2 linked regions of the Caenorhabditis elegans genome follow. The protein of the gene in region 1 purifies or fractionates together with the protein of each later gene. This does not show direct contact. Each region holds a gene or a part of one and is shown on either strand. Other genes may lie near its edges.

The links.
Region 2: the proteins of wago-4 (region 1) and znfx-1 purify together in Caenorhabditis elegans (affinity purification with western blotting, with the first as the bait; one study listed by BioGRID). This does not show direct contact.

Annotation. Positions count from the first base shown.
Region 1 is NC_003280.10:12,915,909-12,931,854, forward strand, and holds wago-4 (Argonaute protein wago-4), read left to right. Parts: upstream 1-3,642; 5' UTR 3,643-3,668; coding exon 3,669-3,824; intron 3,825-3,876; coding exon 3,877-4,067; intron 4,068-4,112; coding exon 4,113-4,281; intron 4,282-4,325; coding exon 4,326-4,731; intron 4,732-4,777; coding exon 4,778-5,504; intron 5,505-5,549; coding exon 5,550-5,725; intron 5,726-5,771; coding exon 5,772-5,940; intron 5,941-5,989; coding exon 5,990-6,164; intron 6,165-6,207; coding exon 6,208-6,453; intron 6,454-6,493; coding exon 6,494-6,858; intron 6,859-6,906; coding exon 6,907-7,024; 3' UTR 7,025-7,469; downstream 7,470-15,946. Other genes in the region: F58G1.2 (C2H2-type domain-containing protein), read right to left, coding at 1-394, 1,477-1,913, 2,501-2,869, 3,036-3,072; F58G1.8 (Elongation Factor G domain-containing protein), read right to left, coding at 9,396-9,539, 9,587-9,694; F58G1.3 (Serine/threonine-protein phosphatase), read right to left, coding at 10,128-10,265, 10,310-10,515, 11,117-11,731, 11,780-11,872, 12,310-12,352. UniProt on the Caenorhabditis elegans protein: Argonaute protein which is involved in the endogenous small interfering RNA (endo-siRNA) pathway and is required for RNA-mediated gene silencing (RNAi) in the germline.
Region 2 is NC_003280.10:9,207,356-9,222,251, reverse strand, and holds the start of znfx-1 (NFX1-type zinc finger-containing protein 1 homolog), read right to left. Parts: upstream 8,551-14,896; coding exon 8,384-8,550; intron 8,337-8,383; coding exon 8,131-8,336; intron 8,082-8,130; coding exon 7,967-8,081; intron 7,923-7,966; coding exon 7,836-7,922; intron 7,786-7,835; coding exon 7,690-7,785; intron 7,040-7,689; coding exon 6,601-7,039; intron 6,490-6,600; coding exon 6,169-6,489; intron 6,123-6,168; coding exon 5,400-6,122; intron 5,356-5,399; coding exon 4,467-5,355; intron 4,382-4,466; coding exon 3,853-4,381; intron 3,784-3,852; coding exon 3,462-3,783; intron 3,417-3,461; coding exon 3,279-3,416; intron 3,224-3,278; coding exon 3,050-3,223; intron 3,006-3,049; coding exon 2,557-3,005; intron 2,508-2,556; coding exon 2,321-2,507; intron 2,272-2,320; coding exon 2,146-2,271; intron 2,065-2,145; coding exon 1,496-2,064; intron 1,445-1,495; coding exon 1,102-1,444; intron 1,059-1,101; coding exon 1-1,058. Other genes in the region: ZK1067.4 (Transmembrane protein 151 homolog), read right to left, coding at 9,228-9,410, 9,454-9,849, 9,931-10,081, 10,497-10,864, 10,911-11,250, 11,669-11,856. UniProt on the Caenorhabditis elegans protein: Epigenetic inheritance factor which, in association with the Argonaute protein wago-4, mediates small RNA-directed transgenerational epigenetic inheritance and thus balances the transgenerational inheritance of epigenetic information.

The sequences.
Region 1 (15,946 bases):
CTGTATCCGAAATGAAGAATTCCTCGCAGAAATGACATTGGAACGTTCGCGAGAAGACATGAGCCATTTTGCGATGCTTTCGCAGCTTTCTTGGCGTCAAGAACTTCTGATTGCAGTCTGGGCAGCGGAAACCGGAATGGTAGCCACGATGGAACTTGGTGCGGTGTCGGAACAGACGGTAGCCATTGCACATGTTACGGATCGGACGACAATCGAGACAGAGATATGTGAGATCACAGTCATGAGTTGGAAGATCAGCGGCCGATGGAAGACACTTGAAGCAGTGAAGACATTGAACGAACTCGGCGCATTCTGGATGCTTCTTCGTGAGGTGGTTGTTGAATGAGATGTCGTTTCGGAATCGTTTATCGCAGAAAGGGCATTGAGGGGAACGCTGGAAAAGTTTAATTTAGACTTTTTAAGAAATTATTTTAAAAGTGGAAATTGCTTTAAAGTACGCCTATGGTATCACAACAACCGAATATCATGACTAAAAAATTCTTTTAAAAAATCGAAATTTTATATGATTTTTAGAAAATTGAAAAATCTCAGTTTTTGCCTAATTCCTATTTGAATTACCGTCAACTGGATTTGTTCGATGGAGCGCGCTTGCACGTTTATAAATTTATTTATTTTATTTTTTGTTATTTTCCACCGATTTTTAATGTTTTCGGTGTATTTTTGCTTGAATTTTAGAGAAAAAGTCAAAATACATGCAACTTTTCGATTAAAAAAGCACGCTTACAGGCGTAGATCATTGAAATTAATTAATTCAGGTTCGAAATCGTTCAAAATCGTTACTTTGTCATTTTTACGCCTGTAAGCGTGCTTTTCAATCGAAAATTAGCTTTTATTTTGACTTTTTCTCTAAAATTCAAGCAAAATTACACCGAGAACATTAAAAATCGGTGGAAAATAACAAAAAATAAAATAAATTAATTAAAAAACGTGCAAGCGCGCTCCATCGAACAAATCCAATTGGCGGTAATTTAAATAGGAATTAGGCAAAAACTGAGATTTTTTCGATTTTCAAAAAATCATATAAAATTTAGAATAATTTTTTATCATGATATTCGGTCATTGTGGTACCATAGGCATGTTTTACAGCAATTTCCCCACTGACGCTACTCCACCTTTAAAGAATTAGAATTTCAAACAGATTTTTCTCTACAAAATGGCATATTTTTCGAACCTGAAATCGAAAAACTGACGATTCTAATACATTTTTTAAAAAACTGTAGTGACTCCTTTCTGTAAAATCTTCAGTTTTGGGCCAAATTTCATAATTTTACACATTTTCAACTCGTATGATTCCTCTCAACAAAATTATGAATCAAAAAAATTCGGAAAGAGTTTCTATATAGGCCAACAATAGCCAAAAACTGCTGTCCCAGCTAATCGAGCTCCCACGAATTCAGGAGTTTGTGAGGTGTCGTTCCAGTAATTATGAACACTCCAGGACATCGTGTTTATTACCTTCTTAAGATATGGAAATTTCTTTCTAAGCGCATCCATTGGGTACATGAGACCTCCGTAACGATTCAGTCGTGGGATGTGTCCTTGACTGTTCTCACCCGGCAACGGGATCGAGTCCACTTCCAGATTGTTCGATGTCGCCTCAATTTCCGACTCTGGAGGAATGAATCCGCCACTCACAAGCTCTTCGATTCGGTTACGCTCTCTCTCCAGTTCACCCATATAATCAGCCATTTCACGTTGATTTTCCAAAAATGCAATGTAGGCTTTCGGGTGGGAATCTCTGAGATGTCGCTCGAGAAGGCTCATCTCACCGAAACGATTTTTGCAGACTTTGCATCGGAACATGCTTTTACGGACGGCATTTCGAATTTCATCGATGCTCAGTGAGGACGCAGGAACCATGTTGAGATCCGGAGCACAAAAGTCTTGCTGCTCTGAAAATTATAAATTTTCTTTTTTTCCAAATATTGGTTCAAAATTGGACTCAAAATTGCCTAAAAATACCGAATTTCATGATGAAACTTCTTGAAAACTTCTCAAAAAAAAGTTATGACGGCTCAAAAACTGGCCTAAAATTAGTTAAAATTTGAAATTTGACTTGTCAGCGCTGCCAGCTGGAAACTAATATTTTTGAAATCACCGTCAAATTTTGAGTATTTTATGTAATTATCTTTCGTTTTTAACTCTGATTTAGGTATTTTAAAGTCGATGAACGGCGAGATTTTTAAATTTTTTTAAACCAAATCTCGCGGTCCATCGACTTTAAAATACCGAAATCGTGTTGAAAACGCAAGATAATTACATTTTATACCCAAAATTTGACGGTGATTTCAAAAACAAAAATTGTTTCCAGCTGACAGCGCTGACAAGTAAAATTTTAAGTTTTAACTACTTTTAGGCCATTTTTTGAGCCGTCATAACTTGTTTTTGGGAAGTTTTCAAGTTTCATTATATAAATCGGTGTTTTCAGACAATTTCGAGTCTACTCCACCTTTAAATGACAAATTTCTGAAATCCTTACTTTGTCGAACTATACACTTGTCAAGTTCGGCAGATGGATCGATGAAATTCAGTGCAGCTCGGTTTTCGCGAAGCTTTTTGATTGGTCTTCCATCCCCGCCGAGAATGATTCGTTCTTTATGAATTTTCGGCGGATTTCTGAGGCTCGCAAGAAGCTCGCCGACTCCGGTGAGCTTTTTTCGTGGGCAACACACGTCATTTCTTCCAGAATCGTTGGCTTCAGCTACTGTTTCCTTTTTCATGCATTCTTGAAGGAAGTGCTCTTGAATACGACGAATCTGTTGAGCATCCTGAGCGTTGAATGATGCAATAATCTGCTGTTCCTTTTCGTCTTGGCAATCCCTATGTTCCGCATGATCATCTTCCGAGACTGCATCTATCAAGAAATCATTAGAAGAGAATAATACAAGAGAAATAAATATCAAATAGTGATAATAACTAGGTTTCTTGGAACCAAATATAGAAATCAAGTTAACAAAATTTCGTTATTTTTGTTTTTTTATTAGGTTAACAATAGAAAAAAATATAATGATTACGTGAATCTTCACGATCGACAATCTCCGGCGCCTTCATTGTTTCTCGTTGCTTGTCCTGATTGTTCCTGTAATTAATTGCATTATTGAAGGAAATTTTAAGATTTCAAATAACGAAATTGAACACGGGTCTGGAAAAATAGAGGCGAAACGAAGAAATATGAACATTTCGAAATAATGCAACAATCTCATGTGACTCCTGATGAAGAGGGTATTTGAAGTGCAAAATAGAGCGCAAGTGCACTTTTTTAATTTTTCTCTTAAAAATAGCTATTTTTGTTTAATTCTAGAGTTTTAATTATAAAAAGAAAAGCAAAATTCAATAAAGGTTCTCTTCGAAAAAATAAATTGTTCGGGTGGATTTACGGTAAACAAGGCGCATTGCGTTAAGGCGGAGTGTCGTTGTGCTCGGGTCTCGCAGCGAAAGTCACCTACAGTAACCCAGAATTTTAGGATGACCGCGATTTTCAATTTCGTTTTTTCTTTTCGCGTTTTTTCGCGGAAATGTTTGTTTTTGATGCTCGTTTTGTGTTTTTGTGTTGTATTTTTGTTGCTTTTTTCGCATTTTTCTATACGTTAAGTCTTATTTCGTCTTGAATTTTAAATTTACAGGTAATAGTTACAAAATCGAGAAGGATGCCAGCTCTTCCTCCAGTCTACACGCCTTCTGGAGCTCCATCGAGCGTCCACGCACCACCTGCCGTTCCACCAGTTCCAGTTCCGACTCAACCGTTAAGATCGGAGTATCAAACGTCTAACGACGCTTGCATCAAGAGACTGGAAGAGCTTAATGTACGTTTAGTTTAATTGATTTTTTTTTCAAACCTAATTTGTTAAATTTCAGATTGCTCCTGCTGCAAAGCTCTATCCAACACCTACTGAACCAGGAAAGTGTGGCGTCGAGGCCGAAATACAGACCAACGTATTCGGAATCGAGATGCACCAGGATTCGTTGTTCTATCAGTACAGCGTGAACATCACGACGGAGCTGAAAAACGGGAAAGAAGTTACCTTCACTAAGAAGGGGAAGGATGAGTGAGTTTACCACATGATTTATATTTTTCTCATAATATGTTCCAGCTTCGTCGTTACTGAGAGACACGACAAGTGCTGTGCGATTCTGTTCCGCGCGCTGGGTGACTATGAGGAGTTCTTCAAAACGTCTGATAGCTGCCTCATCTACGATGGTCAAAGCATTCTGTTCTCAAACGTGGATCTTTTCCAAGGGTTCAGAGAAGGCGCAGTAAAGGTAAATAAATTAAATCTCGGCCAATGTTATTCCGAATATTTCAGACCAAGTACATGCAGCTTGATGGCGGAGAAATGGATCATAAGGATCTCAAATCGTTGCCGTGTATTAAGCTGGAGGTGTTCCCGACTAAAAACCCAGCGGTCAAGTTCACACGAGAAGCCGTAGCAAGACGAGCAACGGACTCAAACCTCGATTCTGTCAGCTTGGCTTACCAACAGATCCTGGAACTCGCTCTCACTCAACCATGTCTTCGCAACACTGCGAGATACGTTGTTTTCGATCATGGAAAAATGTTTTTCATTGATCCACTCGGTGAAGGATTCGAGAAATGCGACGTTGTGGACGTTGGGGATGGGAAGCAAGTTGTACCAGGACTCAAGAAGACGATCAACTTCATCGAAGGACCCTACGGCAGAGGACGGAGTAATCCATCAGTTGTCATTGACGGTTGGTATTCAAAATAGTAATATCATAGTTATTTCTTGTTTTTCAGGGATGAAGGTCGCTTTCCATAAGAATCAGCCAATTCTCGACAAACTGAAGGAGATAACTACGCAGCCTGTGGAACACGGCCTGAAGGGACTCGAAAAGGACCGCTGCGCAGCCGTCATCAAAGGGCTCGACTGCTATTCTACATATGGCGGTCGTGAACGTCATCACAAGATCGAGGGAATCCATCACGAAGGGGCTCGAAATGCTCGTTTCGAGCTCAACGACGGTGGAAGCTGCACTGTAGCTCAATATTTCGAAGACGTATACAACATCACTCTTCGCTATCCAGACACAAATCTCATCGTTTCCAAGGAGAGAGGAAATATAAACTTCTACCCGATGGAATTGTTGAAGATCAGCTCTCATCAACGCGTTCAGATCCCGCAGCTAACCAGTGCCCAGAGTCAGAAGACAACGAAGGAAAGTGCTGTTTTACCTGACGTTCGCCAGCGTCTGATCTTGACGGGAAAAAATGCGGCGCAAATCTCATCGGACAACGAGGTTCTCGGTAAAATGGGCGTCTCGGTGTGCGAAGATCCGCTCATGGTCAAAGGACGCTCAATTCCTGCGGTGAAGTTGGCAAACGCTGAAATTGGAGCCAATCCAATCAATGTCAAGGACAACAAGTGGCGTGCCAACCGCTTCACTCGACCAGCCACGGCGCCGAATGTGTGGGCGATGTATGTTGTCGGTACCGCATCAACTCGCATAACTTTGGATACTCTGAAGTAAGACTGGCAATATAGTTTCATATCTCATTTTTTTCGTTTCAGGAAATTCGCAGATGAGTTCGCGGCTATGTGCAAGTCAAAAGGTGTCAACATGCCTGCTCCTGCTGACATTTCGCTCATCCATATGGATGCCATCGAGAGTCGTCTGTACGACGCAACGAAAGCCAATTGCACATTCGTTTTCATCATAACGGATGATTCAATCACTACACTCCATCGTATGTTACATTGTTTATTATATTTGTCCATATTTCCGTCTTTCAGAGCGTTACAAAATGATTGAGAAGGATACGAAGATGATCGTTCAAGACATGAAGCTATCCAAGGCGTTGAGTGTTATCAATGCAGGAAAGAGGCTAACTCTCGAGAACGTGATCAACAAGACCAATGTGAAGTTGGGAGGTTCCAACTATGTTTTCGTGGACGCCAAGAAGTACCAGATTTTTTTTTGCGAAATTTATATTCATTTATTATTCCTTCAGGCAGCTCGACTCTCATCTGATCATCGGAGTTGGGATTTCCGCCCCACCTGCTGGAACCAAGTATGCCATGGAGAACAAAGGAGTTCTAAACCCCAATGTCATCGGCTATGCGTACAATGCACAGCACAATCAGGAGTTCAGTGGAGACTTCGTGTTAAACTCTGCCAGCCAAGATGTGAGTTTCCATTTAAGAATATTCTCATCCGATTTGATTTCAGACTCTTGCGCCGATTGAGGATATTGTGATGCACTCGCTCAACGAATACCAGAAGTTTCATGATGGCGGTCTTCCGAGACGCGTCATTGTCTACCGAACAGGAACAAGCGAGGGAAATCATGGATCAATCATGGCCTACGAGATTCCTCTTGCTCGTGCTGCTATGAGAGATTTCTCACCTGATATTCAACTTGTATACATTGTGGTGTCAAAGGATCACAGCTTCAGATTCTTCAAGCCCGATTTGGTTAGTAGTTTTGCATCAAAATAACTTTGTATATTTTCAGGCAAGTCTAGCTTCCCGTCCACAAGCGACTTCCAGCACCGCAAGCAGGCATTCTGCAATGCCAGCCGCCCCAAAAGCATGGGATCTGAATATTGCACCCGGTATTTTGGTCGATTCCATCGTGACAAATCCGGCTTGCAAGCAGTTTTTCCTGAATTCCCACATCACTCTGCAAGGAACTGCGAAGACTCCATTGTACACAGTTCTCGCCGATGACGCCAAAGTCAGCATGACAGCTTTGGAGGATATCACGTACAAGCTGTGCCATCTTCACCAGATCGTTGGACTTCCGACGTCGCTTCCAACTCCATTGTACGTCGCCAACGAGTACGCCAAGAGAGGACGCAATCTGTGGAACGAGGCAGTGTAAGTTTTGCATTAGCGGATTCTTTGGAAAAATGTTTTTGTTTTCAGGGCCTTGAACAACGTTCCAACTGTTTCTGGCCCGGAAGCAGATCGTCTCAAGGAGTTGACCAAGAGCATCTGCTACAAAGCGTCCGGAGATCTCACGGGTCGTCGTGTCAACGCATGATCACTTTCAACAAGGCAAACTTTGTTTCTTTAACCACCTCAACCCTTCCCTGCTGTTCCATTATTTCCTTGTCCCTATTGCAATTGTTTTTGAACAACTAATAACCCTTTCCCACCTGTACCATTTCACATTGTTACTCTTACACCACGTTTATAACCGCATAGTTTTCCCAATGTATTAATATTGCCCATTCTTGTTATATCATACTTATATTGTCCCCTGTTATTCACTTCCCTTGTCAAATATTTCCTTTTTTCAGCAACTTGTCATCGCAATTTCTTTTCTCGTTGAAATTACGCTGACAAGTGTGCTCTGTGGCCTTTTTCTTTTTTTTTTTCATTTGTTTTCTTGTACTAACTTCTCGAAACATCAGAAGATGTTTCGAGAATTTAGTTTTGAATACTAATATAGGCACTGAAAACTTAATAAAAGTTGATAGCCGTCGAAATTGGTTTTTGTTCTATTTTTGAATTTTCCGGGTCGGCTTGGCATCAGGGATGTTCAAGAAATTTTTTTTTGCAAGAAACAAGAAATTTGCATAAAACATTGCAAGAAAAAGCGCAAAAAATGAAAGAAATTTCAAGACATGGAAAACAGTTAAACTTTTTTCAAATGTTAAGATATAGGTTAAAGTAGTCGATTATAAATACGATTTAACCTAATAGGCGACTCCTGGAAGTAAGTTTCAGCCGAAAACTATGAAATTATTGCAATTTCCAAATTTCTACGATTTGTCAAATTTCCATGTCCAATTTTTAACGATTTGAAACATTTTTCCAGCTTTCTAAACGTTTTTTATCCAAAATCCTATATAAAATTTTTATATTTCCATAGAACTTCCTCCATCTTGTACTGATTTTTCTCGAAATAAACCTGAAAATCAAAAAAAAATTTCTTGCACTTTTCTTGCAAAAAAATATTGCAAGAAATGGAAGCAAGAAATGCAAGAAATCAAGAAACAAGAAATTTGCATCCCTGCTTGGCATGCAATTATAATAGTGATACTTAGCTCTAATGATAAGAAGAGGGAGGGATTGTCACGTAAACCCCGTTCTAGGGCAGTGTGGAAAATATAAAAAGTTTATTTCGGAAATTAAATTTTCTACAAACATGTGATTGTGTTTTGAAAAAAAAGAAGTGAGTTTCGCGGCGTTGTAAATACAAGTACAAAATTGAGTGAATATTATATTTTCAGAAAGAAGGGTGGGGTACTGTTGAGAAGCGAGACTCACACAACTACGGAAAAGATCATCAATACAAGGGACACAATAACGGAGCCTATTTCGAGTACAAACAACTATCCAAAACCTGCTTATAATGTCAAGTTAGTCGATGAGATAATTAATTTGCAGAATGATAATTGATGTTCAGGTTCGTGAATTTGTGAAGAGCATTATGCTCGGCGGTCGTGAAGCTCAAAGAGCTCAATATAATATTTTAAATTCTATGAGGGGATCTCGTAGCTCTTTGTAAGTAAATAATACAGTTTGTATATAAGTAAAATGGAAATTTTCTCATCAGATGGTCCAATGCAAACACAGCTTATGTTGGATTCACGAGCAACCCAGGGAAGTATTGCATTCGAAAAAGCCCAAATGCGCCCAATGATCGAGACTTTTGGGTCGATGTGTGTCAATCGCAAATTGGAACAGTTCTGAAAATTGGAAATGGAGTGAACGACTTGGCATTTGTTCCTGGAAAGCGATCACACAAATGAAGTTCAACGATGTGCATTTGATCAACAAAAATCACTCAGAGATTTCATCAGCGAATTCCACGATTTTTTTTGATAGTGTTGACGTTGCTTGTGGGATCAATCGATCTTCAGTTGAGTTCGTTTCTCTTGGATCTTGGAAAGACAATGAAAATCCACTATTCGATACTTCTGCTATGGTATGTTCTCTAATTGCCGCGTGAATGCATAAAAAATGGTGTTTTCAAAAAGAGATTGATGATTGCTTCCCGCGATGAAGACACCAAGTGCTCTATGCTGGTAGCAATATTGTCTACGTTGGATTCACTTTTGCACTCAGTGAGTTTGAAATATTCATATTTTGTTCCCAAATGTAATCATTTAGGAAACCGCTCTATCCGTATTCGACTGCTGCATTAATCTTCGAAATATTGGGCTATTGTATGATATGAAAATTCAGGTATGATTCATTTCATCACACTAGTGATTTACATGAAAACTATTTCAGGATTATCAATACATTTTCGATACAATTCTTGACTACTTCATTATTGGTCAAGCTGCCGTTGCCACTCCCGAGTTGACCAGAATGTACCACCACTACAAGCAGCAATAATTGTACTTTTTTCTATTTCATATGGCAATAAACAATCAATTCGGCATAATCTATATATTTATTTACATTTGCACCTTTAATTTAATTCGGAATGTTGGTTCTTCCTTTGTGAATCGCGTCAATGCCTTGATAAAATTGTCAGCATCTTTCCGGTTAACAGATTTGAGTGCCACAGAAATGGCTGGCTCCGGAATGTGTATTGGCTCCTTAAAGTTTCAATATTATTAGGGCAAAAAAGCACCAAAAAACATACACAATGCGGAGCAAGATTCTGATCAGTTGAGAACGTTTCTCTGGCAGTCAAGTCCAAAAGTTGTACAGATATCTCCAGCATAAGCAGTAGTGATCTCTTCCATATCATCAGCGTGCTCGAACTTTGCTTAATTGTCCCGTGTAGACCCGTAAATAAGTGAGACATTTAATTGCAGGCATTAAAATATATATCAAAAGAATCATTAATTGACAAATAGAAAATCATATTGTTGATTTGTTGTGTTGAAGCATTGGAATAGTATAAAAGAACTCTGAAAGAAAGTCAAATATTCTTTAAAATATTATTACAACTTATATTCTTCATCATGTTTGATCACTATGCTTCACATTCAGATGTACTGGATCTTCTAGGCAGACTTTCCAGAAATTACGACTATTTCGAACTTTTAATTTAAAATTATTTTTGTTTCAAATAAACAGCATAGTAACATATAATATTTTCTTTGAAATTGCGCAAAAAACAATTCAAATCAAACGATTTATTCATGAAATCTAAATTGGCTCTTTTTCCTGATTCCTGACTATTCCTTGACATATGGTTTGATGGCTTCTTTGTCAGCACGAGCCGCCTCAATATTCGTGTCGATTGCAATCGCTGGAGCTGCCTTGGCCTTGGTGCCATCCGGAAGTGGTGGTGGGATCAGCTGTTGGAACGAGACCTGAAATTAAAGGTTTTATTAGACTTCGAGTCATTTAAGATTACCTGCAAGTTGGCGTTCAGGCAAACCACTGCGGCGGCGTTGGTGAACTGGGCACAGTAGTTTGGCACCGAGAAGACGGTGATCAGACGGCGTCCAGCCATCATTTCGTATCCATCTTGGACGACTTGATGGCCACGAATGATCAGATCAATCTCCAGCGATTTACACGCTTGCTCGACGACTCCTTTGCCAAACATGTAGCTGATTCCTGGAAAAAAAAATGAAATTTTCAGGAAAGATACAGGGTCTCGACACGACCGAAAATTTTAAAATAAAGATTGCGAAAAAGTAGGGGTGGGCGGCAAACGAATTTTCCGGCAAATCGGCAAATTCGGAAAATTGCCGGAATTGAAAATTCCCGGAAAATTGTCGATTTGCCGAATTTGCTGGAAAAATGGCAAATCGGCAATTTGCCTAAAACAACATTTTCCGGTAAATCGGCAAACTGCCGGAATCGAGAATTTCCGTCAAATTGTCGATTTGCCGAATTTGCTGGAAAAATGGCAAATCGGCAATTTGCCTAAAACAACATTTTCCGGTAAATCGGCAAACTGCCGGAATCGAGAATTTCCGTCAAATTGTCGATTTGCCGAATTTGCTGGAAAAATGGCAAATCGGCAATTTGCCTAAAACAACATTTTCCGGTAAATCGGCAAACTGCCGGAATCGAGAATTTCCGTCAAATTGTCGATTTGCCGAATTTGCTGGAAAAATGGCAAATCGGCAATTTGCCTAAAACAAAATTTTCCGGTAAATCGGCAAAATGCCGGAATTAGTGCTTCTCGTGGCGAGACCCAAAGCTATTCAACCTCGAATAGAATGGAACCATCCTTCTCCCTTGTTCGTCGGATCCGACCACAGCAAATCAATAAGCAAACCACGATCCAGCGGCTCACACGGACGTGGAATATTCCTGATCGTATCAAGATTGATGAGCTCCGGCGAGAGTCCACCGTGCATACAGAGCACTCTCTTCGAGATCAATCCAGACATTGGCATACGATTGAAGCATGTCTGGAAGTCCCACCACAATCCGACTCCGTACTTGTACTGACACTCCACGTAGAATCCATAGATCTTGTTGACCGACGGCGTTTCGTGGTTGCCACGCAGCAAGTAGATGCGATCCCTGTAGCGGATCTTCAAGCAGAAGAGAAGGATCAGAACTTCGATTCCTTGCGGTCCACGATCCACGTAGTCTCCAAGGAACATGAGCTTCTCCTCTGGAACACGCCCTATCAAGTCGAACAGGCGGTTCATGTCCTGGAACTGGGCATGTATGTCTCCGATGACTTTGATGGGAGCCTCGGCTTCACAAAGATTGCTCTCGTCCATGAAGATTGCCTCGACCATCCGGATGATTGCAATGATCTCGTGTCCAGTCATCACATTGCAAATGTTGATGTTCGTGTCCTTGTAGAGACCTGGAAAGGTTGGAAGGTTGGCGGTATTCTGTCTAGGTAAGGTCTTACTGTTCATTCTCTTGATGCAGTCGTCCATCCATTCAGCTAATCTCGGGTTCTCCTTGGCCAAATCGAACTTTGATATCTCTGATGTTTTTGGACCTGGAAAACGGGGTTTTATTAGAAAGTACGAAAATACGTGGTTTTTAGAGCAAAAGGACACGGATTTCTGACTTCCCTCATAAATTGAAATGGAAGAGTTTAGGCCGAACTAGGCCATTTTGGCTCGGCCATATCTGGGGTAGATTTACGGCGCGTTGCGTGTCGCGTCGCGGCTCGTTTTTAGTTGTAAAACTAAATGTATTTGTCCGTGAAAGGAAAGGCTTTCCTTCCGTGCGGAGGTTGCAAATCTTGAAACCCCCGCCCAGTTCTAAGGGCGTGGACAATCCACCAGATTTCAATCCCCCGATTTGCCGAGCCGGATGAGAAGCTGTAAAGCATGTCGCGGTGAGACCCATGCGCCTTTAAACACCAGCGCTCGAGCCTCCCATACATCGACGCCAACATCGGGGCATGACATTCAACTTCCTGAAGTTTACCTTCTTTCGATCCTTTCTTGTTGTTATTCCCGTCGGTGCTCATCGTGAAGACGTTGCTTAATCCTTCCTCGCAACCAAGCACACTGCTTTAAAATTGAGAACTGATTCGTTTCAAATCCGAACTGGAACTTTTTTTGCCAACTTTTTTTGTAATTCAGAAGTTCACGTTTACGATTTTTATTTGGTTTTTCAAAAATTCTTTTAATTTGGAAGTTTGAAGGTTCACGTAAAAAAATTCGCCAATTTTTCGGTTACAGTATCTATTACAGTATCGGGACAAATTGCCGGAATTGAAATCTTCCGGCAAATCGGCAAACCGGCAACTTGCGATTTTGCACATTTTTTTTAGAAATTTCAGAATTCCAATTTTAATCGGCAAAATTGTACGCATCCTATGAATGTTCCTACATCTGCTATTTTCAAAAGTAAACAAATTCCATCAAAATATCGAGAGAAAAACGGGAAAACATTTCAAAAAAGCACATAAAAATCCCTCTAAAAACTTCCGGCAAATTGATGTTCGGCAAATCGGCAAATCGGCAAATTTACCGAAATTAAAATTTCCGGCAATTTGGCCACCACTGATTAGTATTGCACCTCACATTTGGCAGCTTATATCTCAGTGGTCGTTTGTTTCATTCAAAAATTTTCAAGTGACAAAATTTTTATTAGATATTTTTCTAAATTTTGTAATTGATTATTTTATGATATTTACAGAATAAACCGAGATATAACTTTTTAAAGTAAAGTTGCAACCTGGAAGGCTTTCCGAAATGACTGAAGCTGCGGAACTTTAGAAACCATTTTCCTTAAAAGTGGAGTAGCGCCAGTGGGGATTTTGTCTAAATACACTTATAATGATCTAAAACGACCGAATATCATAATAAAACACTACAAAAAATTTTACATTTTTCATAATTTCCGGTCAAAGTTTTGGAAAGTTGCCAAAAAACAATTTTGAAAAATATGAGCTTTTGAGGAAATCAAAAGCAATGTCGCATGTTTCGACCCCTAAAATATTTTACTACATATTATTAAAACAAAATTAAAGTATAAGAAATGTAGAAAAAAAAATTTTTTTTTTGGTCGACTTCCAAAATTATGAGTGCCAAAAACTGAGTAATTGTCACTTTTTGACAGTAAATAAAAAATTTTCTACAACTTTTTGAAAAGTTTTATTTTGATATTCGGTCATTTTGTCATAATTGGAGTAGTTTTTAACACTTTCCCCACTGGCTCTACTCCACTTTTAAAATGTTCGCTTTCAAATTGTTTGCTCCAATTATCAGACTTCCCTCTCATTTTGCAGCCAACTACATCCCAAACCTACAAATCTCTCAGCCGCGTCACATCGTTTTCTGTATTCCAGGGTAATATCAAGTCTGGATTATTAGAGCTCCACCCCACATATCAGTCATTTTAAGCATTTCTGCTTCACCCAGCTGAAATATGTTTGCTCATTCAAGCCATATGGAAGTCGTGCTGGCTCTGCAGAACATGGGATGTAACGTGTCACGTCGTGGATTGGAGTCGCGGTTCTCGAGAGTTCGACGTTAATTTTTTTCTAATTGTTTCCAAGTTTCTTGGGCTTGAAAATGTTTAAGGATTTGAATAAATCGTTAATTGTTGAATTTTTTTCAATCTTGTTAATTTAAATATTTAGAGACCATCTGAAAATAGTGAGAGGTTCAAAAAAACTGAAAATTTTGCCAAACAGTGGTGCGCGGCGATTGCCATTCGGCAAGCGAATTTTTGGCAATTTTGGCAATTTCCGATTGCCGGAAGTTTTGAAAACCGGCAATTGCCAAAAATTGCCGGTTGCCGGAAATTCCCAAAACCGGCAATTGCCGAAATAGCCATTTACCAAAAATTCCCAAAACCGGCAATTGCCGAAATTGTAGATTGCTGGAAATTTGTATTTTTGGCAATTGGCAAAATTACCGGTTTGCCGGAAATTTCAATTCCGGCAATTTGCAGATTTGCCGATTTGCAGGAAAAAATCGTTTCCCGCCTACCCCTGGTCTATAACTTCAAAGTTTCAAATAAGTACCATGTGAAGATTAACCCCGATTATCGACCAGTCCATCTCCAAACTGCAAAACACTATTTTCAAACTGCCATATTGAAATATCATATTATAGTTCGAAACGTGTGTTCTACTGATAACAACACCATCCCTTTATTTGATTAAGTTAGACTTTGCACTGATAATACACATCGTTTAATTAAAATAAAACTAGAAGGTATTCATCTTAGATGCCCTACTACGTAGTACTCTACACTTTAAAAGGTTTTATCTTGTTTCATTTTGCAGATATTAATACATATTCAACTGCAAAAATATAGAAAAAGAAATTACAAATATTTTGCCAATCGACTATTTTTGTATAGGACAAACGACAACTGAGATATATGCATTGAAAGTATATGTTTGAAGAAAAGAAAATCGCGTATTCGTGTAGTTTTTGATTTGACAAAAGTGTGAGTCACATTTTGGTACACATATGTACGCCCTATTTCTAGAATTGGCATGTTCTTAAATGTTATTAATTTTTTTTCCAAAAAAAAAATAATGGATTGTTAGAATTTGTTTCAAAAATTGTCCTTAAATCTAGTAAATAGCCTATTTATTTAATTTATTTATTAAAATGTGAAGAAAGCTAGATGAAGTTCTAATAGGTAGGTAGGCAGGTAGGTAGGTCGGTAGGTGGGTAGGCACAGGGATGGGCGGCAAACGATTTTTTCCGGCAAATTTGCAAATCGGCAAATTTCCGGAATTGAAAATTTCCGGCAAATCGGCAAACCGGCAAATTGCAGGGTTAGAAAATTCCCCTCTAAACATTTCCGGCAAATCTGATATTCGGCGAACGGCAAATTGACAATTTGCCAAAGTGAGTATTTCCGGCAAATCTGATATTCGGCGAACGGCAAACCGGCAATTTGCCAAAATAAATATTTCCAGCAAATCGGTAAACCGGCGATTTGCCGATTCGCCGAGTTTGTCGACAAATCAATTTGCCAAACGGCATTTGCCGCCCACCCCTGGGAAGGTAGGTAGATAGGTAGTTGGGTATGGGTATGGGTATGTATGTATTTATTTTTTTCGAATTTTCATTTTTCAAATATGGTTTAATTGCAAGAATACACTAAATTTCTAAAAAGGTTCTTTTTGTAATTTTGCAACATGCCAAAACTTTAATGTTTTGGGCCATACTTTGTCAAAATTTGCACTGGCGCTACTCTTGAAAATTCCATGTAAAAAATGTGTCCTTATTTTTGACAGTGCCTATTGTGCCTATTTTGAAACTTTCCTCCAAAACCACAAATTCCATCAATTATTCATCCCAGGAATAGCCACGTCGTCGGTAAGTACACGTCGCATACCGCCTCTCTATTGTATTTGCCCTCCACCAGCGTCTCTCAAATCCATACACTATCTCTGAGCACTAATCAAATTTGGAGCCATCTCCGCAATTGGCTTCTTATCAGGTCATATATTGATAAGAACCAGAAACTTTTCTTCTTTTCCTTATATTGCATTCTACAAATCGTATTGTGCTCGTTGTGTTTGAACAGCCTTAATTCTATTGTTCATTTTTTTTTCAACAATTTCAGTTTCCTCAAATTTTCAAATTTC
Region 2 (14,896 bases), 3.7 Mb from region 1:
AATGTTGGTGGAATGTCTTTTCTTCTGGAAACTCGGAACTTCGATGAAACCGACAAAAGTCTGGTGATAGCTAGGCAGCAGTTTGCAACTTGAAGTAGGGATGCAAATTTGAACTTGTGCTCCGGCTTTCCTTTGAATGTTTCCGCTGATGTTCGAATGTCGAGAATTTTTTGATGGAAGTTGCGTAGAATGTCCTCCGAAGCATTGGTGAGATTAGTCGTCACATTACGTATTTCTCCAATTGAATCCTGAACAGCTTGAAAAACTCTTCCTTCTAATGTTGATTGATGGATGTTCCGAATATTGGATTCAAGCTTTCTCATGTTCTCATTCAAGTAATACTTCTTAGTGTATCTTGCATATCTCAAGACTCCAACAATGAACGCCGAACACTTGGGACATTTCAACTTCTCATTAGCTTCTTTTTGTTTTTTGACGTGATCATCAAGAACTTCCACAGGAAAAACGTGATAACATTTCGGAATCATGATGAGACGATGAACTCGTGATGTACTTGAGGTGCCAGAAACACATTCAATGTATTTGTTTCGTTCACACGTGCCACAGATTTTCGGACATTGCTCACCACAAATACCAAGACATGCATGTCCACATTTGAGTTTATCAGTGCACGGTTCTGTACATGGCTTCACGTTGCATTCCTCGAAACACTTCAGAGTACAACTACGATGTGCGCACTTATTGGAGCAATTATTGACACATAAAGCACATAGTTTGCTGCAATCGCGTCCGAATCCTCGTTCTCCAGCACCACAACTCTGATGTTCACATTTGTTTGTGCAGAACGCTTTGCATGGTGGGCAGGACTCGCCACATTTTGCCGAACACGTGTGACCACAGTTGAGAACTTTTTGGCACATATTCTGACAGATATGAGTTTTGGTCGTGAAACAAATTCCACAATCATTCTCGCACGTGTGTCCACACTTCTCCAAATATGATGTACATCTTCTTGTGCATAGTTTTGTTGATGGAGCCTGCTTACACAAAACCAATTCCGTATGTTTACAAGGCGAGAGCGTCTTTGGAACTTTCGTCTGAAAAATGAAATTCAAAACAGAAACCATAAAAAGCACTCACCAAACATTCGATGTGATCCGTCATTCCTGGCATGAAGCTCGAACAGACAACATCTTGAGAATGAGAGCATCCCAATGTTACATTAACTACCTCCATGCATTCAACAGTACATGGCTGACCACAAATTTCAGCACATTTGTGGGGGCAGGCCAACATCGTTTTTTCACATCGCTGATCACACGTCAAATCAATTTCATTTGCACTTATTTTCGAACAAGTTAATTGCTTAATGTGTCCACAGCTCAATGGCATTCCGACTAACTGACTGCATTCCGATACAAGTGTACATTCTTCACCACATTTTGCTGCGCAGGCATGACCACATAGCAGTTTCTTAGTGCAGCTGAAAACAAAAATTTGATTTAAAAAAAAAGATTTAATGTAATAATCTGACCTTTGATCGCATTTTGAACTGTTAATTCGACTGCATGGAGTTGTAATTCTATGCCCACAATCCAATGTAACCTCCACCAAGTACAAGCAACTTCCACATTCTTCATAGCATGCCTTTTTACATCGATGTTGAAACTGCGGGTTTGAACATTTTTTGTCGCAATTGTAAAGGCATCGTTGGAGATGTTCTTCTTCCATATTGGGATGGCATAGACGCTCGCATACGTGTCCACAGAACTTCTTGGTGTCGCATTTCTGCATACATCCACCTTCTGGTGATTTCGTAGCGAAATCTTGCGGATCCTTAACTGTAACAATGTTTCCGTGAGCCACACATTTGAGTGGAAGGTTGTATTCAATCAGATTGCTTCTTCTCAAGTTGTTGACGATTTTGTTCCATAACTCAGAATTATTCATAATGTATGCGCCATTTCCAATGATATACATTCCGTGTTGTGCTCGAGTCAATGCGACACAGATTCGATTGGCAACAGCCAGAAATCCGATTCCAGTGTTTTCTCTTCCACCACGATGTGATCTAACCAGGGACACAATAACAATTTTTCGTTCCTGAAACATCACATTTTTAAATCTCACTAAAATGCCTCCATCAGCTGATAACCTAGATTAGTATTGAGTGATATTACTAACCTTTCCTTGGAAGCTGTCAACAGTTTCGACTGGAATGACATTTGAGTCCGGTGTTGATCCGAAAACATTTGCATATTCACGATACATCAAATTCTTCTGAGCTGAATATGTGGCCAAAACAACAATCTGAAAACAAATTAGTAAAATTATGAATCCTATTCAGTCAAGAACTGACATCATTGGTGGTATAGTTCTGCTTTAACAGGTGTTTCACAAGCGCAACTGTCATGGAAATCTCGTGTTTGTTCAGCCAAGATACTTCATCTGGACTTTCTTCCATACTTGTGTGAGACCAGAAGAATAGGTTGGTAGCCATTCCTTGAACATCTGGATAAAGACCAACATTTTCCGCATCGGTAACACTGAAAAAAGTCGAATTAGCATAAATTATATTGTTAAAATTAAACTCACTTATCATAAAATGATAGTTTGACGATTTTATCAGAAATGGTTAAATTCATACGATGTTGTTGACGGAGCTGTGAAAAAGGCAAACCACGCTCCACAAGTCTTTCGAACATGGAAATTCTTAATCCGTACGCAACTCCCAATTCATGTACAGCTGGATTTGGACGTAATTGTTTATGATCTCCAATCATCACAACATGCTCGACAGTTGAAATCATTGCCGAAATAATATGAGCTTCGAGCACTTCCGCCGCTTCTTCCACAATGAGAATCCGTGGTCCAACTTTCTCGAGAGTAGGGCGAAGACGTGAACAACCGGTTGTCGTCGCTCCGATGATCATTGTCATTCTCATGATCTCTGCATCCACTCTATTCTGAGCATTTTTGAAGTTTTCACAAGCTTCTCGGTACTCCCGAATCTGTCTGGGAAGATTTTCCGTGACAATCGATCTCTGAAAAATTCGTTGTAACAAAAAAATTGACAAGATTATCGTACCAAGGCATCACACCAGGTAATATACAAAGACCACCGTTTCAAACGGGCGAGACTGAAAATGTACTTGATATCGTTCAAATCCTTCTTTGGAACTGGTTGGCTTGATAAAATCATGTCCTTGATTTCGGAGACCAAATTGTTGATTTGCTCATCAACGGTGAACTTTGCGTTACACTGAAAGATCAATATAAATTAGATAATTTCCATATTAAGTATAGGTTTTACTAACCGGTTTCGTTTTCTTCTCCATCAAAACAACCACACTTGGTCGCTTGTCTTGCACAATCTCCCAGGGTCCTTTGGTATAATACTCATCGGCGTGGGAAGCGTGGACGGCACTCAAGATGTCGGCTCCAGAGCATTCGAGCTAAAATATTTAGATAATAACTTTTTATCGAGACATGTATCTTACATTCATCTTTTCGAAAAGTTTATCCAAGAGCTTTTCGTCATCCAATTCATCTTCTTCATCATCGCTATCCTCAACCGTGAAATAGTCTTTGTTTTCGTCTTCCGAATCTAGTTGTGCACCTTGGAATTTCGGTTTCTTCGCTTTCTTCGTCTGTGATTTCGTGGCTTTTCCGAAATCTCTTTCTAACAACCAACAACCGATTGCTTCGTCAGGACTCAATGGAATTCCTTTGGTGTCGACGTGATCATATGTAAATTGTTGAATTTCCATCTGATGATTCGGGTCCATCACACGAGAAAGCATTTCGTAAGACAGAAGCTTGCTGTAAAAAAAGATTTCATTAAATTAAATAGGAAACTTTCGAAATCCTAGTTTTTGTTCTAAGACTTACTTCCTAGAGCAGAAAAGAGTGTAACTAGAAATCGCAAGATTGTCAGCTTTATGTCGTCTAGCTGCACCAGCCTTTGACATTTTCTTTTGAGCACCATCCGACACTTTTGACTTGTACTGCTCATAGACATCTTGCCTCATCACATTCTGTCGCTTAAGATAATTCGAATCACATTTACTTCCGAACCGTATAATCTTTGGCCTTCCATTATCTTTCGAAAGTTCTTCATCGTTTTCAATCATTTGATAGATTCTTTCCAACAAATTGTCTAGACCGGAGTTGGTGAAACAAACCACCAAGATTGGTTCGGTGATTTTCCAATATGAACGATTCTGGAGAATAGTCTTCACAATTTGAACTCCAATATGCGTTTTTCCAGTTCCTGGTGGTCCTTGAATCAACGAAAGCTCGTATTTGAATGTGTTGCAAAATGCTAATCTCTGGCTTTCATCCATATAATCGGGGTGGAATTCGTCAAGAAGGCGGGACACGTTATACCATTTCTTGTTGATTTGGATTAGATTGCTATCTGAAAATGACAAGAGTATAATTACATCATTATAATTTAAAAATTAAAGTCAGAGGAGTTAAAATTTGTTCTGTAGGACGCTAACCTTTTATATCAACTCCTACGAGAGGCCTGAAAATCGGCTCTTGCAGTTGTCTATATTCGAGATCGATATCCTCTTTTGACAGTTCACGAGACTTGCTAAATTCATAATCTTCGTCATCATCGTCAACTCCTCGAGGAATAGGCTTTCCTTTCGTATATCGTGCACATGCTGCTAGAGAACGAAGTTCATTATAGGTTTTCATCAACTTCTTCTCCTCGGAAATCTGATACTCGCTTTTCTCAGCTTGTTGAAAGTTTGGCCGAAAAATGATCTTACTACCATGGACAAGATATCTTTCGAAGGGGAGTGGTTTGAATGAGCTGATACGTTTCAAGTTCTCAAGAACATGCTTGTAACACGGCAGATATGATGTTCCTTGCGCCATTTGATATGTTGTGTTCGGTTTGAAAGGCGACGTTTCCTCATGGACAGCAAAATGAAGTGAGCCATTTCTCATCAAATATGATGATTGAATGTGTCCTAGATGAAAGTCTTCTTTAAATCTATCACACGAAAGCATCACTAATCCCAACTCCTTCATCTCACGATCGTTATCGAGTAACTTTAAAATATCGTATTGTGCTGGCCATATGATTCTCATTTCATATCCATCACGTTCAGTAACCTGTTTTCCGTCAACCTTTTCGACATTGAAAATTGAGATATCCGAACAAGGCGCTCCTTCAATTCTACGTCCTTTACAAGTTCCATTCTTTTTGTACAAATCAATTCCGTCTCGAAGTGGGCTCACTAAGTCCTCCTTCAGTAGACGAAATTGGACATCAAGGTAGTGATGAACAGACTTGTATTTTCCATCATCTTGGATCCGACGGAGATAGGGCTCTACTGGATTAACATACTCGGACAAAACAGGAACAGAAGGCAACGTCTGAAAAAAAAACAATTATGCCTTGATAGCTTGCACTTTTTTACCTTAAAATCCTCTGGCGGTTCTGATTTTTCACATTTCACCCAAATTGGTTCGAATTTTATCTCCTCAAAGCGATATGGTTGTTGTGGTTTCGCATCTGTGTCCTCTTCGCAATATTTGCGTTTTTCTTCACAATTTTGAGGCGAAACGAATTTATCATCTCGTGAGTGCTCACTGACGGTGCCACCGCCGTTGTGAAACCCCAAGTGATTTTCCATAGATGTTGATTCGTTGTACTGATATTGATCTCTTCTATCATCTGCTCGTCGAGACTGTCTCGAGTCATCGCGATATCTTGATGATTCATCCTCATGTCGTTGTTGTTGTTGCTCATCGAGCCTTCTGTGAACTTCTCCAAAATTGTCCGGGCTTTTATGGCGACGGTTTTCTGTCCGGTAGTTATCACGATGTCCGAACTCGTCTCTGCGTCTGTGATCGACGAAATCCACCTCGTCATGACCATAAACATTGCTGGAACCTGCACCTCGACTTTCAGATAAAACTTGGCGTCCACTGTCAGAAGAACCAGCTTTTTCGTACACTGAATATGACCGCAGCGCCAATGGACTGGGGTTTCGTTCCCGTTCTGCCCGTTTGATCCATGTTTCAATGTAACCAATCAGCCTCCTAAGATTTCTAAGCTCATCATCACCCACACCAGCTTCCTCAAGTCCATCCATGTCAGCAATATCGAAAGCCATCGAGAAATCATGCCAAGACGGCGCCTATAATAATGTTTACTTTTAAAATTTTCAGTTTATTTCAACTTACAAATCTCGGAAGTGTCAGCATGAATCCACCCTTGTATCGAGCCGTTGTGAAAAACAAATGAAAGATTTCGAATAGCAATTCTGTACCCTCGGGAGTCCACGTGTCATTGTCAAACGAGCTTTCCAGGAATTTACTTTTGAGCTTCAGTAGAAAATCCTTTTCGAACAATCCGCGAATAATTGCTTTACTGTGATCCCGAACAATACTTTTTCGAGAACTGATAGCATAATTGACAACGTAGAGAAGTTCTAGATTGTGAGCTAGTTTTACAAACGGACGTTCGAACCGTACGTATAGTTTTGATCCGTTGATGAGCTTGGACTGAAAATTAAAATTTTAATATTAATTTCGTGTTTATTGAAGATTAGTTTTCCGGAAATTGCCGAAATAACTCACAGGTTGCAGTTTATCACAAAAATGAATAGATCTTACCAACTCAGAATCGTTCTTTTGCGGAACTCCTCTAACAAGGATTTTGGTTTCACACACGTTCCGCGCAGCATGTACATCTTCAGACGATAGAATATGATCTCCTTCTTCTTCCTGAACTTCTTCATCGCGGAATCGACGCCTCGAAGATGAACTATTCTCGCTCATTCTCGAAATGGTACTATGAGCTTGCTCGAATTGATCATTCTGATGATTTTGAAGAGATATTCCTGGTGGAGTTGGAAGAGATATTCCAGGTGGTGCTGGAATTGACAATCCGGGTGGTTGAGGGGTGGAATAACGGGATTCGCGTGTATCTGCTCGGGGAATTGGCGAAACTGAAGATAATCCAGGAGGCGAACTGTTTGAAATCGAAATTCCAGGCGGCGGGAGCCCTGGGGGGGCGAGGTTTCTGACCATTGAATACGGTTGGCGAATTGGTCTGAAACAAGATAATTTAATTATACATTATGAGAGAACGCGGAGAGCTCTAGCATTTTAAGAAAAAGTATTTTCTAACGAAATCAGTATGCCCACAAAAATCCGCGTTTACTACAGTGAAAAGGAACGCGGCCAGGTTTCTGGGGAAAGATGGGAACACGATAAATGTGGTTTTTTTTCCGCTACCACGATTCACGTTGTTTATGAAACGAGAATAAAAACAAAAGCCACTGCGATTATCAATGATTTAACAAAGGTCACCAATTCTATTATATATTTTTAAAAGCAATATCAGGAATTCAGGAAAAATTATTGATGTTATTGAGAAAAACAATCGAAAATTTTGAAATAATTATTCGTTAAATCCTGCGAGTCAAGGGAATATTTCAGTATTTCCAAACACACTGTTTAACAAATTCTGATGTGAAAACATGCTTATTCAGATTATTTTTTTCGAATTTGTGAAAAAAAAGCATATCAATCACAGGGGAAGCAACTAGTCACGGTTTTTCTGTTTTTCTCTACGTCTCGAACTGTCTATCTATGTTGGACGTGTGGAAAAAGAAAGAAATAGCTAGGCCATAAGTCTAATATGAACGAAGAGATATTGCAAAATTTTTGAATAGAAAGTTTACAACATGGTAACGATACCTTGTTTCGCGTTGATCTTGTGCGATCTGCTTGTGAGGGGCGTCTTCAACAAAGTCTTCGGTCGATACAATCGAACTCTTTCCAAAGATGAATTCTCTATGAAAGTTAGATGTTTTTTAATTATTTTTTCCTTCTAGATAGCCTACTCTGTTTCTACCTCCATGGGCATCGCGATGGATTCCGTCAGATTTTCCACTCCTTTGATGAACTGTGCAAATTTAGAGCAGTCACTTCTGAAATATGAATTTTTTCGACGTTATGCTGAACATTTACTCACTCCAGTTCTTCATACTCCATTTCGTTGATCCAGTTGAGAATTTCGTTGCGTTTCATATGGAAGATATAACAAGACTCCCTAAACATATCCAGCATGTTTTGGACTTCGTCTTCGTCTGTATGAGTGAATATTTATACACGTTATGTATAATTTACTTTTCTTACCGCACTGGTCTAAAATGAAAAAAACAACCGGAGTCGACAGCGGTCCTTTTTCATAGATCGTTTCACACTTCTGCAGACCTTCCTCGATGAGCTTTTTCAGAAGAAGATAATCTTCCCTGACTTCTTGATATTGCAGGAATTCCCGTTCATCATCGAGAAGAATACCTACTTCTATCATCGAAGTGTGACACCTTTTCACGAATTTCCTGAAACAATACGTTTTTTCAATAATTTTTGAATAATTTGAACGTACATGAAGTGCTCTGATGAGAACTCGCTTGTCGGATAGCCGATTCTGAAGCACATCCACGGACGCCGGCGCTGTCCGCGGAACGGGTCTTCGTCGAACTTCAACGAACCCATTTCGTAGGGCAACCGACGTCCGCCAACCTCACGTTGAGGTGGTTTATCTCTGGACATTAGCTTGTCAGATAGATGGATTGGTTGGTTTGAAGTATTTATCTGTAAAAGAAATAATTACATCAAATAAAATGGCCATATTCAAGATTTTGCGAGAGTATTGGAGTTTTTTGTTAAATTTTCAAGCAAGACTTTGTATTTCGTGAAAAATGTGATTAGTGAAGCATTGCCTCACGGAATCAGAACGAAATTAAAACTGGTAACGGAGTTTTTTGGCCTAAAAACCGAAACCGTCAAATCCTAAAATTTTAAACAAAGAAACATGTGAATTTCTTGAAGATTTCATCAAAAATACTTCTGTAATAGTGAAAATGCGTTGCCCAGTGATTTTTAATACAAATTTTGAAGAGAAAAATGGAGTTTTAACATCAAAAATACGAAAACTGAACAGATAAATAACTGAATAAAAAAAAATTTCCGCGCCAATACTTCCAAGGGTACTGTAGTTTTTTATATTTCGTGCCGAGACCATCTCCTCGTATTCAGTGGACGCTCCTTTAAAAATTGATTGCTTTTTACCATTTAATAAGGCAATAAAAACAACGCTTTTAATCGAATAACTTGAAACACAATTTTTTTAAACTTGAAAATAAAAAAAAATCAGAAAAATTATTTATTTCAAGCACCAACGTTTAACAATTCTTAAAATTGGTCCGCATGTGAAAAAATACCCGATTTTATGGATGTTCTGGATCATCGTTATTATTGTTGTTTGAATTATTGTTATTATTGTTACTAGAACTACTTTTCAAAGTTAGCGACTTCAAATCCTTCGAGCTCGAGTGAGAAATTGAAGCCAATCGTGAAGATATTGATCGTCGTAGGCGTTCATATAATGGAGCACACATTCTGAGAGCAACCTGAGAAATAAATTGTCATTTCCATTATAAATTGAAAACCGACCTCATATGGTGGAGGTGGTTCATCTGGTTCAATGAGTAGTTGTGAATCATCAGGATTTCCAATTTCTCTGTAACCATTGGACCAAGCAGAAATACCACCTATCGATAACGAACGTAACGGCAAATTCCGCCGACTCGATGGAATAGCACGATTTGCTCTACTTCCGTTTTCTAAACAACTCAGATTCTCAGCTGATTCTTCGAGATTTCCTTGAGCAGCAAATGTCATACTTCGGCTAACTCTAAGAGGTCTCGGCGTTGCTGTAATGGGCTCAGATAGTGAATTGTCGGTTTCTGTTGCTCCATAGTTCCGAAGTACGATATGTTCGTTAGTTGTACTCACGAATGGTCGTGGAAGAATCACAGGGTCCAGGCATCGAATATTTGGATAATTGGTCTACAATATTATCAGAGCGATTAATAAATATTTATCAGGAGCAAATGATCTTAAAATTTTAATATTTAAAAAAAACCTTACATTTGAATTAGCAATCGTATTTTGCATGAGCATAACTTCACTGTACGATGGTACAACGAAATGTTGTTCTCTCCTCAACAATGCCTCCAACTCAACAGTATCCATAGTTGATGTTCTGGTTAATGGCCCCGTGTAGTTGACCGAATTCGGACTGGAAAATGTATTTGAAAAATAAATACTTATACTACTTTTCTATCTTTTTTTGCTGTAGCTAATCTTTTCTTCCTGCCAAATGCCTAATGATTGATGGAACTCAACGTTTTTGAGCCACATCCCTTTATTGAAGAAAATTCGAAAACACTATTTTTGTGGCTATTTTAGGCAACTTCTTGTAGAAATATAAATTTTATACACTTCGCATATGAAAATGCTCTATATGACTGACACTTTCTGTTCCCGCCAGGTCTTTTCTCTCAACAGAGGAAAACGGCGTGCAGTCGATAGCTCAGTTGGTAGAGCGGAGGACTGTAGAGTCAGTGGTTATCCTTAGGTCGCTGGTTCGAATCCGGCTCGACGGAATCTTTTTTGGTTTCTTTTTTCAAATATTTTATATCCAATATTCCTACCTCAAATAATTGGTTCCGAAAAGCTTAATCACTTGAAACGATAGCACCGCTGTCCTCCATTCTGTATAGATTCTCAATGGCCATGATAACACGAAAATTGAGAAAAACCAAAAAACAATGGGATGTAGGAACCATGGTGGTGTAGGCTTATTGAAGGCAAGTATTTCCTCTACAAATCCAACATCCGATAAATCCATTCCTTCTCGTACTTCCATATAATCATCTTTTGTCTCGTTATCATTGAAAAATCTGGATCTTTGTTGCTCGAACTCAGTTGCAGCCTGCATGTTCGCAAATACAAAACTTCGCGAAAGACGAATTCGTGTGACGTGGAACTTTTCAACTTCTAATATTGATTTTGAAATGTCCTGAAACAAATTATATAAATGGAAATGTTTTTGACACAGTACTCACCCTAAATCCGCAAGTATCATATATGAACATACTTCCAGCTTGATGTGAATTCATTCTCTCATAATATACTTGTGTAGCCGAAACAGCATCACCATTCCGGTATCTTGTAACCTGTCTTGTCTTCCTCGTATAGTGATAACAAACACTTTTCCACCATACAATTGGTGGAGATGTTCGTAGAGCAGTTATATAGTCAAGAGCATCTTCAACACGAACTTTTTTCATATTTATTATTTTTGTTCGACTGTGCCAACACTCCATCAAGTATACTATATATAGCATAAGACCAAATACAATTGGAACAAAGTTATATCCTTGTGCACATGGTCCGTGTTGATATCTATAAAAAGAAGTGTTCAGAAGTGAGATAAATATCTAAATTTGTTCTACACAGTTATATTATGAAAGGTAACGGTAGCTCCAGTGGGAGATTGTTCAAAATTACTCCTAAATGCAAGTCAAATGTGTTCTACGAGTTTTTATTATAATTATGTTTTAATGATTTTCATTGAGACATTGTGGATCTTCGAACATGCTCTGAACTTTCCGCAAAATTTGAATTTTTGAAAATTAGGCAAGCAATTTGTCAAAACATTTGTCAAAAGGAGAGTATTAAAAAATCTAAAACATTTTAGAGTGATTCAAAATCAAGCCAAGATATAGGCGGAGTCAATTTCTACCGTTTTCATCTTTATTTTTTCCATATGCTACATTTTCGAAATTTGTCCAAAATAGGAAAAAATCAAAATTAAACTTACATGAGCAATGGTTGACTTCCGGAATAAGCTTCATGTTTGACATGACAAAATGTTGCATAAAAGAAACAAAGTATCAGAAGCAACGAACAAACAAGACATTTCCCGTATCCCGTCCTTCGTAACACTCGGAATATATTCGGACGGCGTGGTTTTGCCACGTGCTCTTGAGCGTCCACAGTACCAGCCATTATTCACACCAATTCATGATCTGAAGATTGAGACGATTTCAAGAAAAAAGTATTAGAGTTAGTCAGAGTTCAATGAGTGCTGGGGGAAATAAGTAGTGAACAAACTTTTGTAATTTTCATTGGCAACTCAACAATTGTTGGCCATTTTCTGGCAAATCCTTTTGCCAACTTTTTGACCAACTTTCTTCTATTAAAACTTCAATCTGTTAAATTTATAAACTTTTTCTATAATATTCAAACTTTCTAATCAAAAGCAAATTTTGAAAAACGTTTAAAATAGTATTTGTTTGTGGTTTAAGAAAAACAAAACGGCAAAAGAGGGAAGAAAAAGAGGAGAAAAAAGGAAAACCGGAAGGAAGGGAAAATTGATGAGTTTTGGCGGGGCGGAGAGGTGCAATTCAAGCAATTTAGAGGACGCGAATTATAAGGAAAAGTGATGAATGAAAATTTGCCGTCTTGTTGTACTTCTATAACTTTTAAACTTGAACTTTTGGAAATTTTTGAACATTTAGATTGTAGAAAGATAGATGAGAACGGGTAAATCTCAAAGAAATTGTCCTCGGGGAGTTATAAGCTTTGACGAAGAATGAACCTCCGAAAAAATAACTCTTGGTTTGTCAAGTTGAAGAAATTCAAATTTTGCACAATGAGCAACACAAAAGAGCAAAAAATCGAAAAGGGAATTTCAGATTTTATTTTTATGTATTCGCTTTTATGATGTTTTCAAAAAAAATTACACAATTTGAGGCAAACTTTGAGTTTTCTAATGAATTCGTTTTCCGTCATCTTGGGAAGAAAGAAGAAATAAACACAAAAAGCAGAATTTAAATGAATTCATTTAAAATTTATAGGAATTCATCAGAAAATGTTCGATTTGATAGACAGTTTACAGCTCAAAGAGCTATGCAATAGAATAAAGTTTTAAACGAATTTGTGAAAAATGTGTAAGGTTAGTTAATATGTATATGACGGTCTACAGTACTCCATAACTTTTTGCTTGAAAGTTCAAAATATCCTTTTTTCTGTTTTTCGGCCGCAAAAAGTTGGAGAATTGTGCTCTTCGGTTTTTGACATACCTAGTCAGCTTTCTTCATTTCGTTGAATTATTTGATTCTAAATCTAGAATCTTAGGAAATTGAATTGTTACCTACTTTTTTCACATTTCCACAAGGGCCTCCGCAAAGAATTTCTACAAAATTTTTAGGCGACACCTACTACAACGGAATTGAATTGAAACGAAAACATTTTTATATTAAAACTTCTGAATTTCCATTGTCATTGAGACCTCGTAAAAAAGTTTTTGGGGGCTCACAACACAATGAGCTCATCTCAAAAAAAGGAGAAGAGTGGAGAGATTCCCCAAGAGATTCAGATCTGAAATTGGACACGTCGCGCGGGAGTAGAGCAAGAAAAAAGATGTATGTGTGTGTGTGTGTGCACATCTCTTTTCTACAACAACGACACCATAATAGAGTTTGATTTGAGTCACATTGAGCGAGCACGATATATAGTAACAAATTGAGAGATTTAGAGAAAAAATGAGAAGAATCAGGAATTATTTTTTTGTGCAGTTGTGAATGTGTGCGTTTTTTGTTTTTCCAGATTGCTAGGACCTTGCGGAAAACATCAATTAGAACACGGAAATGTCAGGTTTTACAAAAAAAGGAACACTTGAATTAGATAATTGTTGCTTCTTTTGAATAATAAATTATTTTTCTGCTAGAAATCGAAATAATTTGTAAGGTTACGGTAGATCAAGACCCATCTGAAACTAACCTATGGTTATAAAAAACTATGGTTATGGTCCTTCAGGATTTTAATCTATTTTTCAGAAATTTTATTTGAAACTAGCAGAAAAATCCACAAAACGTTATAACGTTATTTTATCAGGAAACCATTAAAAGTCGATTTAAGAGAGCACAATAGTATAATTGTAAGCAAAGAAGATATTCCGATGCTTGCCTGTCAATCTCTTCCGATATCCCCATGGGGTCCAATCCCCGACGCCTTCGCACTCTGACCAACAATAGTGGCCCTTTGAAGACCATGGAATAGAAGGGGTTTTCCAAAATCCATTTCAAAGTGATAAACTTGTCGCAAAAGAGTTTGTTCCATGGAGAGCACGGAAAGCAGAGCACCAAAAAATGGAAAAGAAAGGGAAAAATGATGGAAGAGACAACAAAAGATGGAAGCTCTATGCTTCTTTGACAGAGTACTTGTGGTAGATGAAGGAAAAGAAGGCGTAGAAGTAGAAGAAGGAGGGGCATAAATTAAAGAGCCCTACTAATGGGTAGGAGCGGGACAAAACTTTGTATTCAGGAAGGAAGGAAGGAACAATTCGGTGCGTGGTGACTGAGTGAAAGATTCTTTGTATGAAAGGAAATTGGTTTCGAACGGAAAATACTGAGTAAGACTTCGCAGGTGATGTGGTTTTCAAAGAATTCAACTTTTTCAGTCTGAAACTTCAGACTTTTCCTGTGACTGTCTTGATGAAGAATGTCATTGTTATCCAACTTTTTTCTGACAAAAGGAAGATTTCAGAAATGAGAGCCACTATACTTAGCGTTATACAAACAGGCCGACTGAAAGTTAAATTGAGTGAACCAGAAGCGTACTTTCAGAAGATTCCAAAAAGTTTCAAACACCGATGAGGTCTTTTTTTCAATTTTTTGAACAGGAAGTTCTGAATCATGTGAGTGTGAGCCACTCGAGAAGAATGCGAAAAACAAAGCTCTGTACCCTTTTTGTTGCAAAAATGGAACCCCTCTATTTAATCCTAGTTTAAGCTGCGCCACAACAGCCCGCCACTCACTTTTTCTTGTGTTTCTAGAGTGTTGTTTCGTAGTTTTGAGTATTTTTATGAAAAATTGGAGAGATTGTCTTGAAAGCAACAGAAGAAGAAAAAAGGCACAACTTTTCGTAAAAAGTCTAATCGAGAATATTTTTGAATGGAGTATTTTTTCAACTATCAGAAATTCCAGCGACCAAATCCATTAGTGCCACGTCATCAACAACCCATATTGTGCTCAATGGAGCAAAT